Macaca mulatta: one gene and its partners. The protein of the gene in region 1 purifies or fractionates together with the protein of each later gene. This does not show direct contact. Links are inferred from orthologs where the notes say so. Each region holds a gene or a part of one and is shown in the gene's direction. Other genes may lie near its edges.

Region 1 (4,361 bases):
TGTAAGAAAGTTATTTCTAATTCTAGCAGTAATCCAATGGGAAACTAGACTTGGAAAAGGATGTTGTCAATAATGTGACATGAATATTTTTCAAAGAATTTGTGTGTTTTTTTGTTTCACTTCAAAGTAGTTTGAAAAAGTATTAAAAACTTTAATATTAAGCTTAAAAAATACATTAAGACTTTTTTGTTAGCTTGAGGCGTCATACAATTTTCTGAAGCTAGTCAAAAGATCTCTCAGTGACAAAATAAAATTTTGCCACATTAACTAGGGAAATTGTATTTTAAATAAAATAATTTTAACCAGGCCCTTTGAGGAATGGAGTTTTCTGACTAACAACCCCTTTTGTTTCACCTCTTCACATAAGTGTTTACAAGCATTATGATTCACTCTCATGCCTTAGAGAAATAAATGTATAGAATATAGGAACTTCTTTGTAGACTGAGGATCTTTCATCATTCTAAATAATAGCTTTTATCGTGTGACAGTGACAGTGTGGATGATGGCCTTATAAGTAGGAGGAGATTAGGCTCTAAGTAATCACAGGGCGTATTATGAAAAGTGACCAGCCTCCACCATCCCCTCCTCCCATTCTCTAATCCCTAATCAGTTTTGCTTTAATTTTCACGTCCTTACTTCTGAAAATGGAGTATAGAACATTTCCTAACAAGTTGAGAGTCTGGGTCTTAGAACTTAAAATTTATTAAAGGAGACTTCGGAGATTATTTAGCCTAGCACCCTCATTTTATAGATTAAAAACCTCTGAGGCATAGGTTAATTGACTTGCTCAAGGATACTAAGCAGATTGACTAAAAGAAACAAAGATTTAGGTTTCCTCATTAAACTGACACTTTAACAGTGTCCCAAATTTTGGTGGTTATCTTTGATCTTCTTTGAAACAGGTAGATCGACACTTGAGAAAGCTGGATCAGGAACTGGCTAAGTTTAAAATGGAGCTGGAAGCTGATAATGCTGGAATTACAGAAATATTAGAGAGGCGTAAGTAAAATTTACAGTTTTCCATCAATATTGGACAGTACATGTGCAAATCACTGAGAAGACCTTGTCTCACAGAGGCTTTTGAAACCTGCCCTTCAGTGGATGGTGGCATCCAGGTCAGATAGCTTGGACCCTAGCAGTTGGAAATGTTTGGGTCATGGATACTGAGAGAGATAATATAGGATATCATCCACTCACTCTTTATGAAATAACATATTAAATAATTTTATATTCACATATATTAGTAAGTTGAGTGGTAAGAACAAATTTAAAGAAACGTAACCATCGGGACACAAATTAACCATCTTGCATTAAGTATGTTGACTTTACTCTGCCTCTTTATACACTTAAGCTTTGAGGAAGGTTGTTAGTTTCTTAAGAATTGTTTTATGGCTTTTCCTTAACTGCATATACTGAAAAAGATTCCATTGGTTTCATAACACTACCTCTTTTTCTTAAAGAAGTGTTTCCCTCTTTCCCTTATCAGCAAGAAACCATTTTAATATTTCTTTGCAAGGCTCTATTTGATCTCCTGCTATAACTTACCCCTGTCACTTCTTTGGTGTGTCTTCCCAAAAATGGAAGCGTGAGCACTGTTTCCTTGACTAATTTAGCATTTCCTCCAACCTAAATAGGTAATATACATAAAAGCAGTTAGTGTGGTACTTGGTATAGAGTAGGCACTCACTGGATGTTAATTGAACCAAGTTAGTATTATGGCTAATTTCTACTAGAATTTAATTAAAACTTTCAAACATATTTTTTCTTGATGCATTTCAACAGCAAGAATATATACCTGTTTCTACACACAGATGAAAGGTTTCTTTACAGTGCCAATCTATGTATCTCTCTATATAGTCACTAGAAGTCAGCTAGGGAAGCCAATCACAGATCTGTCTTGGTGTCTATAGTTGCATTTTTGTGTTCAAAAGTAGATGCATCACTTTAGATAATCATCTATTTATTTGTGATACTTTTCTTCTGGAGGAACCCTATATAAAGATAATAAGTATTTTGAGACAAAATTAAAAATTCTGTAGCTGCTTTGATTTTTAAAAAATGCTGATGATAGCTGTGAGTAATGATAATTCATGCCTATTCAGTACTGCAGGAAGGTTACTAAAGCATCCTCTCTAAGGACACAGACATATGAAACAAAATTGGATCAAGTTATAAAAACTGCTCCACCCTGTGCCCTGCCATAATTTCATCTCAAGGGATCAAAAATAAACCCAGAAAAATTTATTTAGAGGTGTTTTAAAGCTTGGTGTTACAAATTCTATTCCTCACTTTTTGCAAACAAATCCCTAACTTCTTTTAGGAAGTCTTTATTACCATAATGTCATTTTAATGATCAAATAATTTTTTTCATATAGTAATGTCCCCCATCACATAGAACTTTAGAATCTCCCATTAAAACATCTTCAAGTCAGTAAAACTAGATTGACTCTTACCAGTAATGAGATTACAATGTCCATTCATTCATTTATATGCCACCCACTGTGGTGAATTCCCTAATTAGACACGAGTATTCCTTGAGCCATATTGTACTTAAGGTAAATATTGGGAAAGGGATAACTTATTGTTTAGAGAGAGGATATACTCAGTGTGGGATGGACAGTGGTGATCCTCTAACATGTCTGGCTAAAATAATACAGGCATATGCATCAGAACTTGCTAGTCCTCTGCTGGGTAAGGGAACTCATTGCCTGTAGTTGAGTGATATGTGAAGTTCTGCGGTGACATTTAATGGTGGTGTATCTCTGTGCCTCTCTTCTTTTAGGATCTTTGGAATTAGACACTCCTTCACAGCCGGTGAACAATCACCATGCTCATTCACATACTCCAGTGGAAAGTAAGTTTGGTGTAGTGCAGCTAAGTTTTAAAAACAATGAAAACCTTATTATATCATCTGTATGTTCTCTTTTTTTAACTCTATACAACCAATTGAGAAGTAAATCCCTTCTTTTTTTTTTTTTATTGCAAGTACTGGCAGACTTATCTTTTTCCTTGAGGAGAGCATAGGTGATTCGGAAATGAGTATTCTGTTTTCTCTTAAATGTGTAGAGGGAGAATGTATAGTACTAATAGCATATATTCCCTTCATATACATACCTGATTCTCCTTAGGGAGCTAAGCATATATTCTAATAACATATATTCCCTTCATACGCATACCTGATTCTTCTTAGGGAGCTAAGCATATATTTTAATAATATGTATTCCCTTCATACTCATACCTGATTCTCCTTAGGGAGCTAAGCATATATTCTAATAGCATATATTCCCTTCATACACATATCTAATTCTCCTTAGGGAGCTAAGCATATATTCTAATAACATATATTCCCTTCATACACATACCTGATTCTCCTTAGGGAGCTAAGCATATATTCTAATAACATGTATTCCCTTCATACTCATACCTGATTCTCCTTAGGGAGCTAAGCGTATATTCTAATAACATATATTCCCTTCATACACATACCTGATTCTCCTTAGGGAGCTAAGCGTATATTGTAATAACATATATTCCCTTCATACACATACCTGATTCTCCTTATTCAACTGAGCCAAACAATAAACTATTTTGTAATAGGCCCTTTGTCTTTTTTATCCTTGCTTCTCCAGTGCTTAACCTAATGTTTGGCATATAATTAAGTCTGAATGGTTGGTAAGTCAGTGAGTGGATGAATTGTTAGTCAGATGACTGCTGGCTAGTTGATACAGTCAAAAAATGACTGTATCAGTGCTTCTTTTGACACATCAATTTGGTGGGAAAAGATAGTTGACTGAACACTATTCTAAGTGGTAGATGATGTTTTGAAAACAAAGTTTCCCTCACATTGTATGTGAGCCCATGGTGTATCTTGAGTTATCTTTAGTACTTCGCTACTGAAGTTTTTTAAATGGTGGAGAAGTCTACTCTTAATAAACATGTGACACAGAGTTCTACTTGTCCTGGCTTCTGAGGAAGCATCATGTTCTGTATTTTATGAGGAACCCAGATCATACTGTTTCACATTATAGCTGGATATAAGTATTATGCCTTGTCCATAGTTCTCTAAAATTTAAAAACACGTGAATTCTTTATTTATATTTAGAAAGGAAATATAATCCAACTTCTCACCATACGACAACAGATCATATTCCTGAAAAGAAGTTTAAATCTGAAGCTCTTCTATCCACCCTTACGTCAGATGCCTCTAAGGAAAATACACTAGGTAAGTTAATTTTCTTAAATACGATTGCTTTGTTTGTTTGTGTTGGAATAAGGGGAAATAAAATCTTTCAGGATTAATGAATCATACAGTTTCTCTACCTGGTTAAAGTATACATATTGAGAAAGAAGAAAAAGGAAAA
Region 2 (5,070 bases), on another chromosome or scaffold:
TGCACCTCCCGGCCCCGGCCCCGCCCCGCGGTGGGGCTTCCGCAGAGATCCGCGGTTAACGCTTCCCCAGAGCTCGGGCTGGGCGGCCGGGAGTCGGAGGCAGGCGGTCAAGGCCGGCAGGGCCGGACCCCCTCCTTGCCCCTGCTCCCAGGAGGCGCTGGACTCCGGAGGCTGGCGTGAGGCCCTCGATCCCGCGCCCAGACCCGGGCAGTGAGCTCTATGCCTGCAGTAATTGTGGGATTGCTGGTTTTGTTTTTTCCTTAGCACCTTTATTGAGATCATAGAGTTCACCCGCTTAAAGCGCACGATTCGGTGGGGTTCTGTTGCGAGCAACCGTGGCCATTATCTAATTCCAGAGCATTTCACCTCCTTAAAAAGAAGCTGGGCCGTAGCCCGGCGCGGTGGCTCAAGCCTGTAATCCCAGCACTTTGGGAGGCCGAGGAGGGGGGGAATCACCTGAGGTCAAGAGTTCGAGACCAGCCTGGCCAACATGGTGAAACCGCATCTCTACTAAAAATACAAAAATTAGCCGGCCGTAGTGAGGGCCTGTGGTCCCAGCTTCTCGGGAGTCTGTCGGGAGAATTGCTTGAACCCGAGAGGCAGAGGTTGCAGTGAGCCAAGATCGCGCCATTGCACCCCAGCCTGGGCAACAGAGCGAGACTCTGCCTCAGAAACAAAAAAGAAGCCGATCCCCATCCGCAGTGACTCGCGTTTCCCTCCCCCTCCCCCGTCCCCGGCAACTGTGCGTCTACTTTCTATTTCTATGGAGTTGCCAGTTCTGGCTCTTCCTGTGAATGGATTCCCATGCTGCGTATTTTGGTGTCTGAATTCTCTGACTTTCGTCTCAGCCCGCACCCACGCTGCCGCAGTCCGCGCTCGCGGCTTTTAGGCTGAACGCGGCTGCGCCGTGCGGGTGCCCGCGCTCCGTGCGCCCCTAGCCGGTTCAGCCCCGGTTGGGGGCGGCGCTAGCCTTGCGGCTGCGGATCCCAGCCTGAACCTGTGTCTTGTTCCACCGTTGCGGGCGCCCGCCACGGAGCTGCTGCCTCCTAGGGAGACGGTTCCATCGTTGAAGGAACGGCCGTTCTGTCTTTCGCAGCAGCGACTCCATCTGGCCCCACAGCACGACCGCACGAGGGTCCCGAGTCCGGATCCTCGCAGTACTCGCCACCCCGGCCGCGTAGTTGCGGCGGTCTCGGCGGGGAAGGGGGTCCCCACGCGGGCTGGTTCGCGTTTCGCGTGACCGATGGTGTTCATTGGCCATCTATACATCTTTTTTTTTCTTTTTCCCGAGTCGGAGTTTCTCTCTTGTTGCCCAAGCTGGATTGCAATGGCGCGATCTCCGCTCACTGCAACCTCCGCCTCTCGGGTTCAAGCGATTCTCCTGCCTCAGCCTCTCGAAGTAACGGGGATTACAGGCGCCCGCCACCACGGCCGGCTAATTTTTTTGTATTTTTAGTAGAGACGGGATTATGCCATGTTGGCCAGGCTGGTCTCGAATTCCTGACCTCAGATGATCCTCCCGCCTCGGCCTCCCAAAGTGCTGGGATTACAGGCGTGAGCCACCGCGCCCGGCCCATCTGTACATCTTCTTTGGAAAAATGTGTATCCAAATCCTTTGCCGTTTTATAGTTAGACTGTCTTTTTATTATAGAGTTATATTTATACCTTCTGCAAGGAAGTTCCTTATCAGATACAGGATTTGCAAATACTTTCTCCCAATCTGTGGGTCGTCTTTTCACTTTGCTGATGGTTTTCTTTGAAGCAAAAAAGTTTTCTGTTGTTGTTTGGGTGAAGTGTTAGAACACTTACTGTGCTTTAAAGAGGAACACGTTTTAAGCACCCCCGCACGGGGCGGAGCAGGGCGGAGTCCCCGGCGGGAAGGAACCCGAGGCCTCGGCTGCGCCTGCGCCGACGCCGGCGCGTGAGCCCGAGCTCGTGCCTGGCGGAGCGCGCGCCCGCCCCCGAGTGCGCCTGCGCGGAGCTCGTGGCCGCGCCTGCTCCCGCCGGGGGCTCCTTGCTCGGCCGGGCCGCGGCCATGGGAGAGGCCGAGGTGGGCGGCGGGGGCGCCGCAGGCGACAAGGGCCCAGGGGAGGCGGCCACCAGCCCGGCGGAGGAGACAGTGGTGTGGAGCCCCGAGGTGGAGGTGTGCCTCTTCCACGCCATGCTGGGCCACAAGCCCGTCGGTGAGCGCCCAGGCCGCGGACGCGCGTGGGGGCGGGGCGGGCAACCGGCGGGGCGGGGCGGGGCCTGCGCTCGCGACACCCGCGCCCCCACGCGCCCCGCCGAGCCCGGGCCGTGACACCCCCGCCACACCCGTCCCGGGACCCCCGCCCCCTCCCACGCGCCCTTCGGACCCCGCCCCGGACCCCGCCCCCGGCCCCTACCCCCGTGACACCGCGAGGCCCCAGCCCGCAGCGCCCCACCCCCACCTCTGCCCCGGGACGCCCCACCCCCTCCCACACACACCACCCAGCCCTGCCCCCCGACAGCCCCTCCGCACCCTGGCCCACCCCATCCCACCGCGGCCACCCTTGCCCCTCCAGTCCCCAGGGCACCCTGTCCCCTCCATCCCCTTTCTCCTTCTCCTCCCCTCTGACCGGTTGTCCCGCCGCCCCTCCTCCCCCCAGGTGTGAACCGACACTTCCACATGATTTGTATCCGGGACAAGTTCAGCCAGAACATCGGGCGGCAGGTCCCATCCAAGGTCATCTGGGACCACCTGAGCACCATGTACGACATGCAGGCACTGGTGAGCCCAACCACCCTCCCTGTGCTGCCCGATGGGGGCACGAACCCACACACCGCTGAGGGTCAGCCTGAGCTGGGCAGAGCAGAGGCCCCTCCATGCCTGCTGGGGTCTGCTGGGCAGAGCCCCCTGCAGTGAGACCCATCCTTAAGGAGGGCATCCCAGGGCTCCAGAGCCTGTCATGGAAAGCACAAACACAATGCTAGCAGCTGGCCAGCTTTTCAGGGGGCCTGCTTTAGACTGGGTGCTGGGCCAGAGCCTCCAGCTGAGACCCTGGGGAGGGAGGGAAGGATGCAGAGTCCCCAGGCCCTTAGGCCCTTGTCAGCCTCCCGGGATGCCCCAGAAGTGCTTTAGGCAGAGGGTGACCCTATCTGAGTCACACCAAGGTGAATTTGGTGGCTTCTGTGGGAGTCAGGCAAATAGAGTCCCAGTCCTCACAGAGCTTGGAGCTGGCAGTGTGTGACGGGCGAGCGCGTTAGCTAGGTAAGCAGGCTGGCCACAAGAGACAGGTGGGTGTTGCAGGCTCTGTGGCAGCAGGAGGTGGTGGGTCCAGGAGTTGAAAGAAGGTGGTGTGCTTGGAGAATGGGGTGGGGGTCAGGGGTCAGGTGACCAGGAGGAGTGGGGACCTGTGCTGGTGGAAGGAGAGTCTGTGCCAGCCACGCTGGACTCAGGGCCACACCAGCCCTTCCAGGAAGACATAGGGGCACCACTGAGGCAAGGAATGCTTGCCGTTGACATTGGTGGAGTGATGTGGGTCTCCTTGTCATAGCTGTAGAAAGGGGACAGAGATGCCAGCCGTGCAGGGGCCTGGCTGTCTGAGGAGAGGAAGGATGCTCAGCCCTAGAAATGCCCTGGAAGCTTAAGCCCCTGTTGCTGCCGCCTCGTGTGTTGAGGACGTTCTGAGCCAGTGCGGCATTTGCACTGGGTGACCAGTACCTAGTGGCCCAGACACAGCTGGCTACTAAGCTCACAAGGTCCTCCCTGGACCCGCTCCTCCCTAGAGCGTATCCATCAGCCATTGAACTCTGGTCACCACCCCTCAGGGTCAGAGGCCCCCTGTCACCAAACTCCCAGCAGCTTCTTGGTTGTGGGAGAGGGCGCTAGGTCCCCAGACACCTCCCACACCGGGATTTGGAGAGATCGGTGTAAATCTATGCCTGTCTCTGGGGAAGACAAACAGCTCCAAGGCCCATAATGTCCCCTGGGGCATGGGTGCTGGCTCAGATGAGCACAGCAGCCCACATGACACTCAGGAAGCCATGTGGGACCGCCAGGCCTTTCAGCCCTAGGACTGTGGCCCTGTTCCTTATTCCTGCAGTGGCCTATGACATCAGTAAGGACTGGGCAAGACCACAGGCTGGCACTTTCTCTGGACCATGACACTTCTGTGTGACTGAGATCTGAGTCTTTCAGACCTTATGAAATACAGAGCCCCTGGAGTACCCCCGAGAGGCTGACCAGCTGGCCCAGGAGATTTTGAGGAGCACAAATGTGGCCTGACTGCCTGTTCCATACAGCACCCAAACTGCCGAGTAGAAGCCCCTGTCTCCTGAATCGCCTCCCAGTCCAGGGCCCTTCCCGCCAGCTCCACTTTTCCCTGGCTCCCGGTCTCTCCCTCTGGTCTGTGTGACCTCAGGAGGGCAGTGCCTGGCAAGCACTCGGGTGGCCCTGCTCCATCTGCTCTTCTTCCTTGCCTGGTTCTGTGCCTGTGGCGCTCCCAACTGACACCCTCAGTGTCCATGGGTTCCTGCCATGTGGATGAGAACTCGAGGTGCCTGCGGCCTTTCCCCAGGGCTGTCACCGTGCCCTCTGCACACCGCCTTAGGGAACGCAGTCTCTTGGTGAGACCATAGGTCGTGGTGGGCAGGCAGGACCCACAGGTGTGCAGTCTCTTGGTGAGACCGTAGGTCGTGGTGGGCAGGCAGGACCCACAGGTGTGCAGTCTCTTGGTGAGACCGTAGGTCGTGGTGGGCAGGCAGGACCCACAGGTGTGCAGTCTCTTGGTGAGACCGTAGGCCGTGGTGGGCAGGCAGGGCCCACAGGTGTATGTCACCAGGGCTACCCGGTCCTCAGGGCCCACCTTAGTGATGCCGGCCCCGGTGGGTCTTCCTGACCCCTGCACGTGCCTCCACTGGTTCTGCCCTCCCTGGGTCTGTCTGAAAAGCCCAGCTGTAGCAGGCACTGTTCACAAAAAGAAGAAATGCCCTTTGCCCATGCCCCGCCCACCGCAGCCTCCAACACAGTGACGTGTGCTCGCTGGCTGCTCGCCAAGTGGCTCTTACATGGCTGTAGTGGCTTCTTGAAACCGCATCTTCACCCTTGTT
Region 3 (4,361 bases), on another chromosome or scaffold:
AAAACAACAAAATATTTTGTTTTCATTTGAAACACACTTTTAACATAGTTGGTCACAATAGAATTTATTACATCTGAGGATACATATTATCTTCAGTTTTCTGAATACTTGTCTGATTTCTAGCCCATATTTTTATAGATGGATTTACTTCAGACATTGAATCTGTTGTCTTAAATTATAGTTTATGGTTATGTTAGATGAATGTTGCTCTCTACTTTGATTTGTAATCAGAGAATAAAATATTTTCACTTCAATATTATATGAAACCAGCAGTAAAAATCATTGACAGTCTTGCAGATGGTCCTACTTTCTTATTAAGGCTATAACTTAGTGATTATTTTATTACTATTAACATGAATAAATCAAAGTTTTTCTCATTACTTGCTCGTCATAATGTAGAGAATTAAGGGTGGTCTCAAAGATGTTAAGTCTGAATAAATGGTAAAATATTCATGTTAGAACTATATTATTCAACAAAAACTACATTTAGACACTTTTCTTAGCATGTGATGGAGATCACAGATACAAGCATACTTGATGAAAGATTTCATTTTCATTAGATTATTTTCTGATAATCCATATTGTAGTTTGTTATTGCTTTCATCTTAATTGTGGAGTAAATTTATATTCTGCTTATGTTATTAAAAATCTTTTAAAACGTACTCATTTCCAAAATTCATGTTGTTTACCAGTAACAGGGGGTATCACGGAAGAGCAGTTTCAGACACATCAGCAGCAGTTAGTTCAGATGCAAAGGCAGCAACTTGCCCAGCTTCAGCAGAAACAGCAATCTCAGCATTCCTCGCAACAGACACATCCAAAAGCACAGGTAAACTGCTCTTTTTGTCATAGTTATGTCTGTTTCTTTCATCAGTATGTAGTTTTATTCCATTTTAGTCAAGTCAGATACCAAGAAGATAATCTTGGTTTTGCCACTCTTGATTTGGGGGCTCTAACCTGAATTTCTTTTCAGTTAATGTACGTAATTTTAAGTGACTAGCTTATAAACTAGTCTCTTAATACTTTGAGAAGAGTTCTGGAGCCAGATACGGTATTTTAAATTTTTTGAAGGGTTGTTAAGAATTTATAGAAGTAATTATATATGCAGTTGTAAGAATCATTCTCCACCTCTACTCCCCCAAAGAAGATTTTTTTGAAAGATATAACTTTCCTAACCACTTCCTAAACTATGTGTTTAAGTGCCATGTGGATGTGCTTCATAAGCTGGGCAGTAATTCAGTTGAATTGTGCAATATATTAACAGCATAATGCCTTGCCATTGTGAATCACATTTTCCTGTTGAAGAAAATTGCAGCCAGGCACGGTGGCTCACGCCTGTAATCCCAGCACTTTGGGCAGCTGAGGCAGGCAGATCACTTGAGGTCGGAAGTTCGAGATCAGCCTGGCCAACATGGCAAAACCCTGTCTCTACTAAAAATACAAAAATTAACTGGGCATGGTGGTACATACCTGTAAGCCCAGCTACTTGGGAGACTGGAGCATGAGAATCACTTGAACTCTGAAGGGGAAGTTTCAGTGAGCTAAATCGCGCCACTGCACTCCAGCCTGGGTGATGGAGTCAGACTGTGTCTCAAAAAAATAAATAAATAAATAAATAAAAGTTTTTAAAAATGAAGAAGAAAATTGCCACTAAGGGAAGTTGTTTGTAGACACCACTAAATAAAGATGCTAGAGATAAGAATAAAAATACTTCATAAAACCATAATTGCCAGAAGGAACCAGCCTTGCCAACACCTTGATTTTAACCCCATAAGCTTCATTGTGGACTTCTGGCCTACAGAACTATATGATGATAAATTTCTATTTTAAGCCACTAAAAACAAAACTAAGAAATCTTATTTCAAATTTGAACCACCTGAAAAACATAAACCTTGCATTTTAGGTCTTAAATTTTATTGCTCTATAATTCTAAAACCACTTCTAAAGTAGTAACTGAGATTTACTCAATCTTGGTTATATTTTGTGAGCTCGCAGGCTAGAATCTGCCCGTTGTGGTTCAGCCCATTCTCAAAGGGTCAGTACACTGACTTTAAAGACCCTGACTCCAGTAACATGAGTATCTCAGTGACTTTGGAACCCAACACTCCTGTGACATCCAGGTGTATCTGGGACTTGCTCAAGGACTAGGGCTGTAGGATTTAGTAACCAGTTTTATACAGAATGAAGGAGGAATGGCTATTTAAACTTTTCTCAGTCTCTTGGTTAACCAGCCTAAAGTAGTTTCAGCCTGTTTCAGGGTTAGGCCAAGATAGCTTTTCACGTTGTGACAAAAATATCTATTAATTATATCTTTGATTTCATTTTATCCAAGTATCTAGTTTGTCAAGCATTTTTAAAAGCATTCATTAATATTTACTGGAAAAATTAATAGAACATTAAAGCCTTGGGTTATTTAATCTCTAGTTCTTTCTCAGAAATAAATTCCCAGTTTTTGTTCACTTCCCTGCTTCATTTACCAAAAATCGTCTATGGAATCCTAGATCTCTTAATCTAAACACTTATAATTGTTCAAGGTTAGAAAGGCAACAGCCTCTTGGGTTTGCCCCATCCCTTAATATGTTCATAAAATTACATCTAAAAATTAGAGAATTTAACTTTGTTCATTCTATAGGGCTCAAGCACCTCTGACTGTATGTCTAAAACACTTGACTCAGCAAGCGCCCACTTTGCTGCATCTGCAGTGGTCAGTGCACCTGTTCCAAGTCGCAGTGAGGTAGCCAAGGAACAGAACACTGGCCACAACAACATAAACGGTGTTGTCCAGCCTTCAGGTACAGCTGGGGTTTCACATGGTACCTACTTTCTTGAAGTTGTAACTCAGTAATTGGGAGTATGGTTTTTGTTTTTTTATCCAAGGAGAAAATGTGTATAAGAAGTCAATCAGGACTCTTTAGGATTTCTTTGGAAAGATAGGGAGAAATAGCTAGATGTTTCTAGAATTCACATAGAATCTACTCCTTGTTTTCTCCCTCATCCATTGAATACATAACCTGTGTAACACTCTACCCTTCCTGGTTTCATTCACATACTGTTAGTTGCCTCACATCTTAGGAAATCTGTTGAGCTAACCATCCCCATTGAATCATCCATGCATTGATAAAAAGGTGAAATATAACCCAGGACAGTAATAAACTGGAAATCAGGTTTGCCCTCCCACTCTTACATACCACTCATAGGCATACTTCCTCTGGCTCCGCCTCTTTAGAAAGAGTATTGCCATGAAACCCTGTCTGCTTCTTAGTACCTTGAGTCCGCAAAAACTTGCTATTCCTATCATCCTTCAGCTACCTCTCAGACCCTAGGATTTTCCAGTTGCTTTTATATATACTCATGAGCCTGATTGTCCATTTTTACTAATATTCATGCATGTGTGCATTCTTAGGGAAACCCAACTGTCATTTCCATCTGTCCTGTTATACTTAACTCCACAGTTGCCAGATATAGGCAGCAGGATACTTCGCAAAGCTCTTTTTTGTAGACCAGTAGAAAGAGGATGTTTTGGGGGTTGTAGCAGATTAGTACATTCTACTTAGTGATCAGAAGCTCCCTTTGGAGAGATCGGTGTGTGAAAAGTTAACTTGGCATTCAATTCAAATACAAATATTTGTATTTATTTTTATTAAACTTCTAAAAATAGTTTTATTGATGTCTCATGATACTAATTGAATGACTTTTTTGTTTTTCAGGAACCTCTAAAACATTATACTCCACCAATATGGCTTTATCATCTAGCCCAGGGATTTCAGCTGTACAACTTGTAAGGACAGTTGGCCACACCACTACAAACCACTTAATCCCAGCATTGTGCACAAGCAGTCCTCAGACACTTCCCATGAACAATTCCTGCCTGACAAATGCAGTGCACCTCAATAATGTCAGTGTTGTTTCTCCAGTCAATGTGCATATCAATACACGGACTTCAGCACCATCGCCAACAGCCTTAAAACTTGCCACAGTTGCTGCCAGTATGGACAGAGTGCCAAAGGTTACTCCCAGCAGTGCCATCAGCAGCATAGCAAGGTGTGTGTGTGTGTTTCAGTGATGAGAACCCTTTGTGCTGGCTGTCCTGTGGGAAGAAAAAGACTTTTTTTTACACTGCTCAAGCAATAGGTGTTTATTGACAGACTTGATTTTCAATAGATACTGAAGATCTGTATAAAATTCTGTGACTTAGTTATTTGTTTAAGGTGCCTAGTAGGATGCTTAAATGCCAACCTAGTAGGATTATTAGAGAAAGGGAGAGTAGTAGTAGAGAGAGAGAAAGGAAAAGAAAGAAAAGGACATCAAATTGTTAAACACATCACAGTCTATGTTAGAAGCTTCAGTTACTTTTCCCCCCT
Region 4 (4,361 bases), on another chromosome or scaffold:
AGTTCGAGACCAGCCTGGGCAACATGGTGAAACCCCATCTCTACTAAAAATACAAAAATTTGCCAGGTGTGGCGATACATACCACCTGTAATCCCAGCTACTCAGGAGGCTAAGGCATGAGAATCACTTGAACCCAGGATGCAGAGGTTGCAACTGAGATCCCATGACTGCACTTCAACCTGGGTGACAGACCGAAATTCTGTCTCAAAAAAAAGAAAGAAAAAGAAAAAAGCGAGGTTATCAGGGATACTCCAAATCACTCTCAGGTTCAGTTACTCACCAGCAAGACTCCCTCACAGGACTCAGCATATGGTTGTATTCACAGCTAAGATTTATTGTACTGAAGATTCGGATTCAAAACAAAATCGACAAAGGGAAAAGGGACAGGGGATGATGAAGTCCAGATGCAAGCTTCGGAGAGTTTTCTCACAGTGGAGTCACACAGGATGTGCTTAATCCCTCCATCAACAAGTTACAACCTGTGTTATCTTCCAGGAGAACTCTGAAACTCAGTACCCAAGGATTTTACAGAGGGCTGGTTATGTAGGTACCATGTACCTGGCATGTAACAAAATTTTAGATTATCAGAAGGAAAGCAAGTGTTCAGAACCAACCACATTGTACAAACAGTGTAGGTATAGCGAGCTACTCTTACCATTTAGGGACAAGTTTTATATGAACATAGGGAACTGTTTGCCAATCGTGTTTCCAGACACCAGCTAAGAGTGAGCTTTACAAGCAGGCCTTTCTCAGGCTTGCAGTGTTAACTCTTTCATGTATAGTAAGTAAATGGGTTCACTAAGTTAAAAGTGCTTAGAACATCCAGGTGACAATTCTGTAAACAGGGGAATAAAAGATTATAAGAAAGATTTTAAGACATGGAATTGCTTTTTATTACTCTGAAAAAATTTGGAATATGGGAAGAGGATTGAAGATGGAGTTCTTAGCAAAAAACTTGTATATTTTAACCAATAGAGAATAAAAGGTACCCTTAAAGGAGAATGAAAGGGAACAATTAGGGATGTAGGAAAAAATTCAGGGGAAGAATAAGAAAAGAAAAAGTTTCTGGAAGCATAAAATTCCATTTATTCTCAGTGTTTTCCGCTGTGACATTGAAAGCTTTACACTAAGAAAGAAGTTAAAAAAATCCAGGTGGGCCTGTGGAAATATATAATTAATGACATTTTTTCTTTGGGCTGCAGTAGAAAAGTTTGTAAACTCTTGTGAAGGCAATACTGTTATAATTTAGAGAAGTCAGATGAGATTAAAAATGTTAAGTGTCCATGAATTTGCCTAGTAGAAGGTCATTCGCGACTGGGGGCGGTGGCTCACACCTGTAATCCCAGCACTTTGGAGGCCGAGGTGGGTAGATCACCTGAGGTCAGGAGATAGAGACCAGCCTAGTCAACATGGTGAAACCCTGTCTCTACTAAAAATGCAAAAATTAGTTGGGCATGGTGGCGGGCACCTGTAATCCCAGCTACTTGGGAGCCTGAGACAGGAGAATTGCTTGACCCCAGAAAGCAGAGGTTGCAGTGAACCGAGATTGCGCCATTGTACTCCAGTCTGGGCGAGAGAGTGAGACTCCATCTCAAAAAAAAGAAGGTCATTAATGACTTATGTCAGTAGTTTTAATGGAATGTTTAGGTGGAAGCCAAATTGAAGACAGATGTTCTTCTTTGAATTTTTAACATGTCTTTTAGTCTTTTTCCAAATAGATTGTAAGCTTTTTTGAGTGTTGGGTCTAGACCATACAAATCTTTGTTGTTTTTTTTTTTTTAAACCCAGCAGTAGTATCATTTAGAAGGCCATATAATTCTTCTGTACTTCCTGTTATTCTGATCACATTCTGGGCCTCTAATAAGTATTTATTGAATTGAATAACATTTACTTGGTATTTTAGGTCTGTTAGATTAATTACATTTGGGATAGGTCTGGGGGCTGGAGGGACCAAAAAGAAGTTCTATATATCTAGAAGACAAAGGTAATCTTTATATAAAGTACTGTGGTATGAAGTTGATCTGTAAAATCAGTAGGTTCTGTATAATACGGTATTAATTGTTAAGTCACAGAAACAATTTCTCAAAATATGTTGTATTCATCTTCAACTATGCATTGTTTCCAAGTTACTAATCTTATATTCTAGTTGAAGACTGGGATAGTTTCCAGGCTATTTTGGATCATACCTACAAAATGCATGTCAAATCAGAAGCCAGCCTCCATCCTGTTCTCATGTCAGAGGCACCGGTGAGATAAAGATTTTCTTTTTCATGTTTCTGTAGTTGTTTTTTTTTTTTTTTCTTTTTTCCTTTAGTTTTCTACTCATTTGATGAATATTTTTCTATAAAGAGGCATAGAAATTCAGAAATTCATATTTTGAATTTGAAAATTAGGGAAAAAGATTAATTTTTTAATACTATTGTAACTTTCATTTTACTATTCTGATAAAATATGCAGAGAACAACAAAACACACTAATGAATTCTTGTGGTTATTTATGTATTTCTAGGGATTTAACATTTTATTTCCTAGGACTGCTTCCCATTTTGAATTACGAATCATTTCTTGTGCCCCAAGGGCAGCGTATATCTACTTTATTCAAGTTTCCAAGAGAGAATTGAGATGTTGAACAAGGGCTGGAAATTTCTGGACCAAAGTCTCTTGTGAAATACATTTGGTACATAGACAGAAACGACCCAGAAAGCAAGCATAATGGTCATAAATTATCAGTATCTTATTGTTGCTAACTTATAGTTTCTTTTATGAATACCATCTATAAGTGGGAGAATTTGGTGGTCTAAAATTCATACTTAGGATTTGGATTGACCATATTTACTCTTTAGATTTAATAATATGTTTATAAGAATACTGATTTCCTCATATGTGGAAAAGTCTCTAATTTCTAGAATTTATAGAAGCAATTTTATTATTAAAGAATTTTAATTCTTATCTGATTGATTTGTTAAATTTAATCTACATCTAAAGAAATATAGAGGTTTTGTTTTTATTTTTGTGAGATATTATTATGAAAGATTATTTCCCATGGTATTTTTTGCTGTTCTTATTGTTTTATTTCTTTGTTAATATAGTGCTAGATTTTATCTGGAGATAAATCAACTTTTTAATTCTTAATAACTTGCATTTCTTTTTCCCCTCTTCTCAAGTGGAATACTAGAGCAAAGAGAGAGAAACTGACAGAGTTAATGTTTGAACACTACAACATCCCTGCATTCTTCCTTTGCAAAACTGCAGTTTTGACGGCGTATCCTTGAAAGAGTAATACCTTTCCTCTTGAAGTGTATACCATACTACTGAATGTGATAACTCTGGCAGAAGACATAAGCCAATTATTGCTTGTTCAGAAGTTGTTTTTTTCTCTTTTCTCTTGCTTTTTAGCTATTCATCTTTTGGTGTTTCTCATTAGAACTGATGATACACTAGAAAGTATGAGGGAAATAAAGTAACACTCAAATTCTGAGTGTTAAGACGTTTTTGTTTTTAGGAAGGTGCATGTGGATAGAAGGCAATATTTTAACCAGTTGGCTTAGACGAAATGAAAGATTGCCATTTTCTCCCTCCCTTCCAATATCACAGAAAACTGGAAATTGGCTGTAAATTCATTCCCCTTCAAATTTAGTCAGTCATCAAGTCCCACCTATTCTTTCCTGCTATTTGTTTCTCTCTTTCCCACTGCCACAGCATTAGGTGGAAGCTATTTCCAGGATTACTGAAGCACATCCTCTTGTCTGCCCATTCTTTACACTGTTGATCTAATAATCTTTCTATTTTTATTTATTTATTTATTTGGTAGAGATGGAGTTTCACCATGTTGCCCAGGCTGCTCTCTAACTCCTGGACTCAAGCGATCTGCTTGCCTCGGTCTCCCAAAGTGCTGAGATTACAGGCATGAGCCACCATGCCCAGCCTCTAATAATCTTTCTAAAGTGCTAGTCTGCTTTAAGCTAGAATCATCTTCTACATTTCTTCCTTTTACTTTCAGACCGTACTGAGGTGCTTGCAGTTCTCTGACCTCGCTGTGTTCTCTTGCCTCCTGGTCTTCCCACATGCTCCTACTCTTGCCCATATTCCCTTCCCCATAATTAACAATTGGATATCCCAGGAATAGGCTTCTCTTTTACACCACCACCTTCCCTGGGACATCGTGAGCTTTTCTTTTTACAGCTTTATTGATCATCTACTTCACTAAACAGGATAACCTTCAGGGAAAAGGCAGTTTTGGTGCACCATTGTGTGTCTACTGTGTTAAAGGAATTTTAGTGCCAGGTGAGCAGCCTCCCTCTTTCCTCCCTCCCTCCTTATTAAGCACCAGACTTAGTAGACACCTAATAGATGCTCAGTAAA

What was found.
Region 2: the proteins of ING3 (region 1) and MRGBP purify together in Homo sapiens (co-immunoprecipitation; 4 studies listed by BioGRID and IntAct, counting the BioPlex papers as one, with this or other methods). This does not show direct contact. The link is inferred for Macaca mulatta from reciprocal best matches to the Homo sapiens genes ING3 and MRGBP.
Region 3: the proteins of ING3 (region 1) and EPC2 purify together in Homo sapiens (affinity purification with mass spectrometry; 3 studies listed by BioGRID and IntAct, with this or other methods). This does not show direct contact. The link is inferred for Macaca mulatta from reciprocal best matches to the Homo sapiens genes ING3 and EPC2.
Region 4: the proteins of ING3 (region 1) and ACTL6A purify together in Homo sapiens (affinity purification with western blotting; 3 studies listed by BioGRID and IntAct, with this or other methods). This does not show direct contact. The link is inferred for Macaca mulatta from reciprocal best matches to the Homo sapiens genes ING3 and ACTL6A.

What each region holds. Positions count from the first base shown.
Region 1 is NC_133408.1:160,738,601-160,742,961, forward strand, and holds part of ING3 (inhibitor of growth protein 3), read left to right. Parts: intron 1-902; coding exon 903-999; intron 1,000-2,782; coding exon 2,783-2,854; intron 2,855-4,102; coding exon 4,103-4,222; intron 4,223-4,361. UniProt on the Homo sapiens protein: Component of the NuA4 histone acetyltransferase (HAT) complex which is involved in transcriptional activation of select genes principally by acetylation of nucleosomal histones H4 and H2A.
Region 2 is NC_133415.1:115,606,051-115,611,120, forward strand, and holds the start of MRGBP (MRG/MORF4L-binding protein), read left to right. Parts: upstream 1-1,963; 5' UTR 1,964-2,035; coding exon 2,036-2,183; intron 2,184-2,627; coding exon 2,628-2,749; intron 2,750-5,070.
Region 3 is NC_133417.1:53,777,261-53,781,621, forward strand, and holds part of EPC2 (enhancer of polycomb homolog 2), read left to right. Parts: intron 1-692; coding exon 693-829; intron 830-2,632; coding exon 2,633-2,792; intron 2,793-3,707; coding exon 3,708-4,041; intron 4,042-4,361. UniProt on the Homo sapiens protein: May play a role in transcription or DNA repair.
Region 4 is NC_133407.1:91,581,951-91,586,311, forward strand, and holds part of ACTL6A (actin-like protein 6A), read left to right. Parts: intron 1-2,146; coding exon 2,147-2,247; intron 2,248-3,163; coding exon 3,164-3,261; intron 3,262-4,361.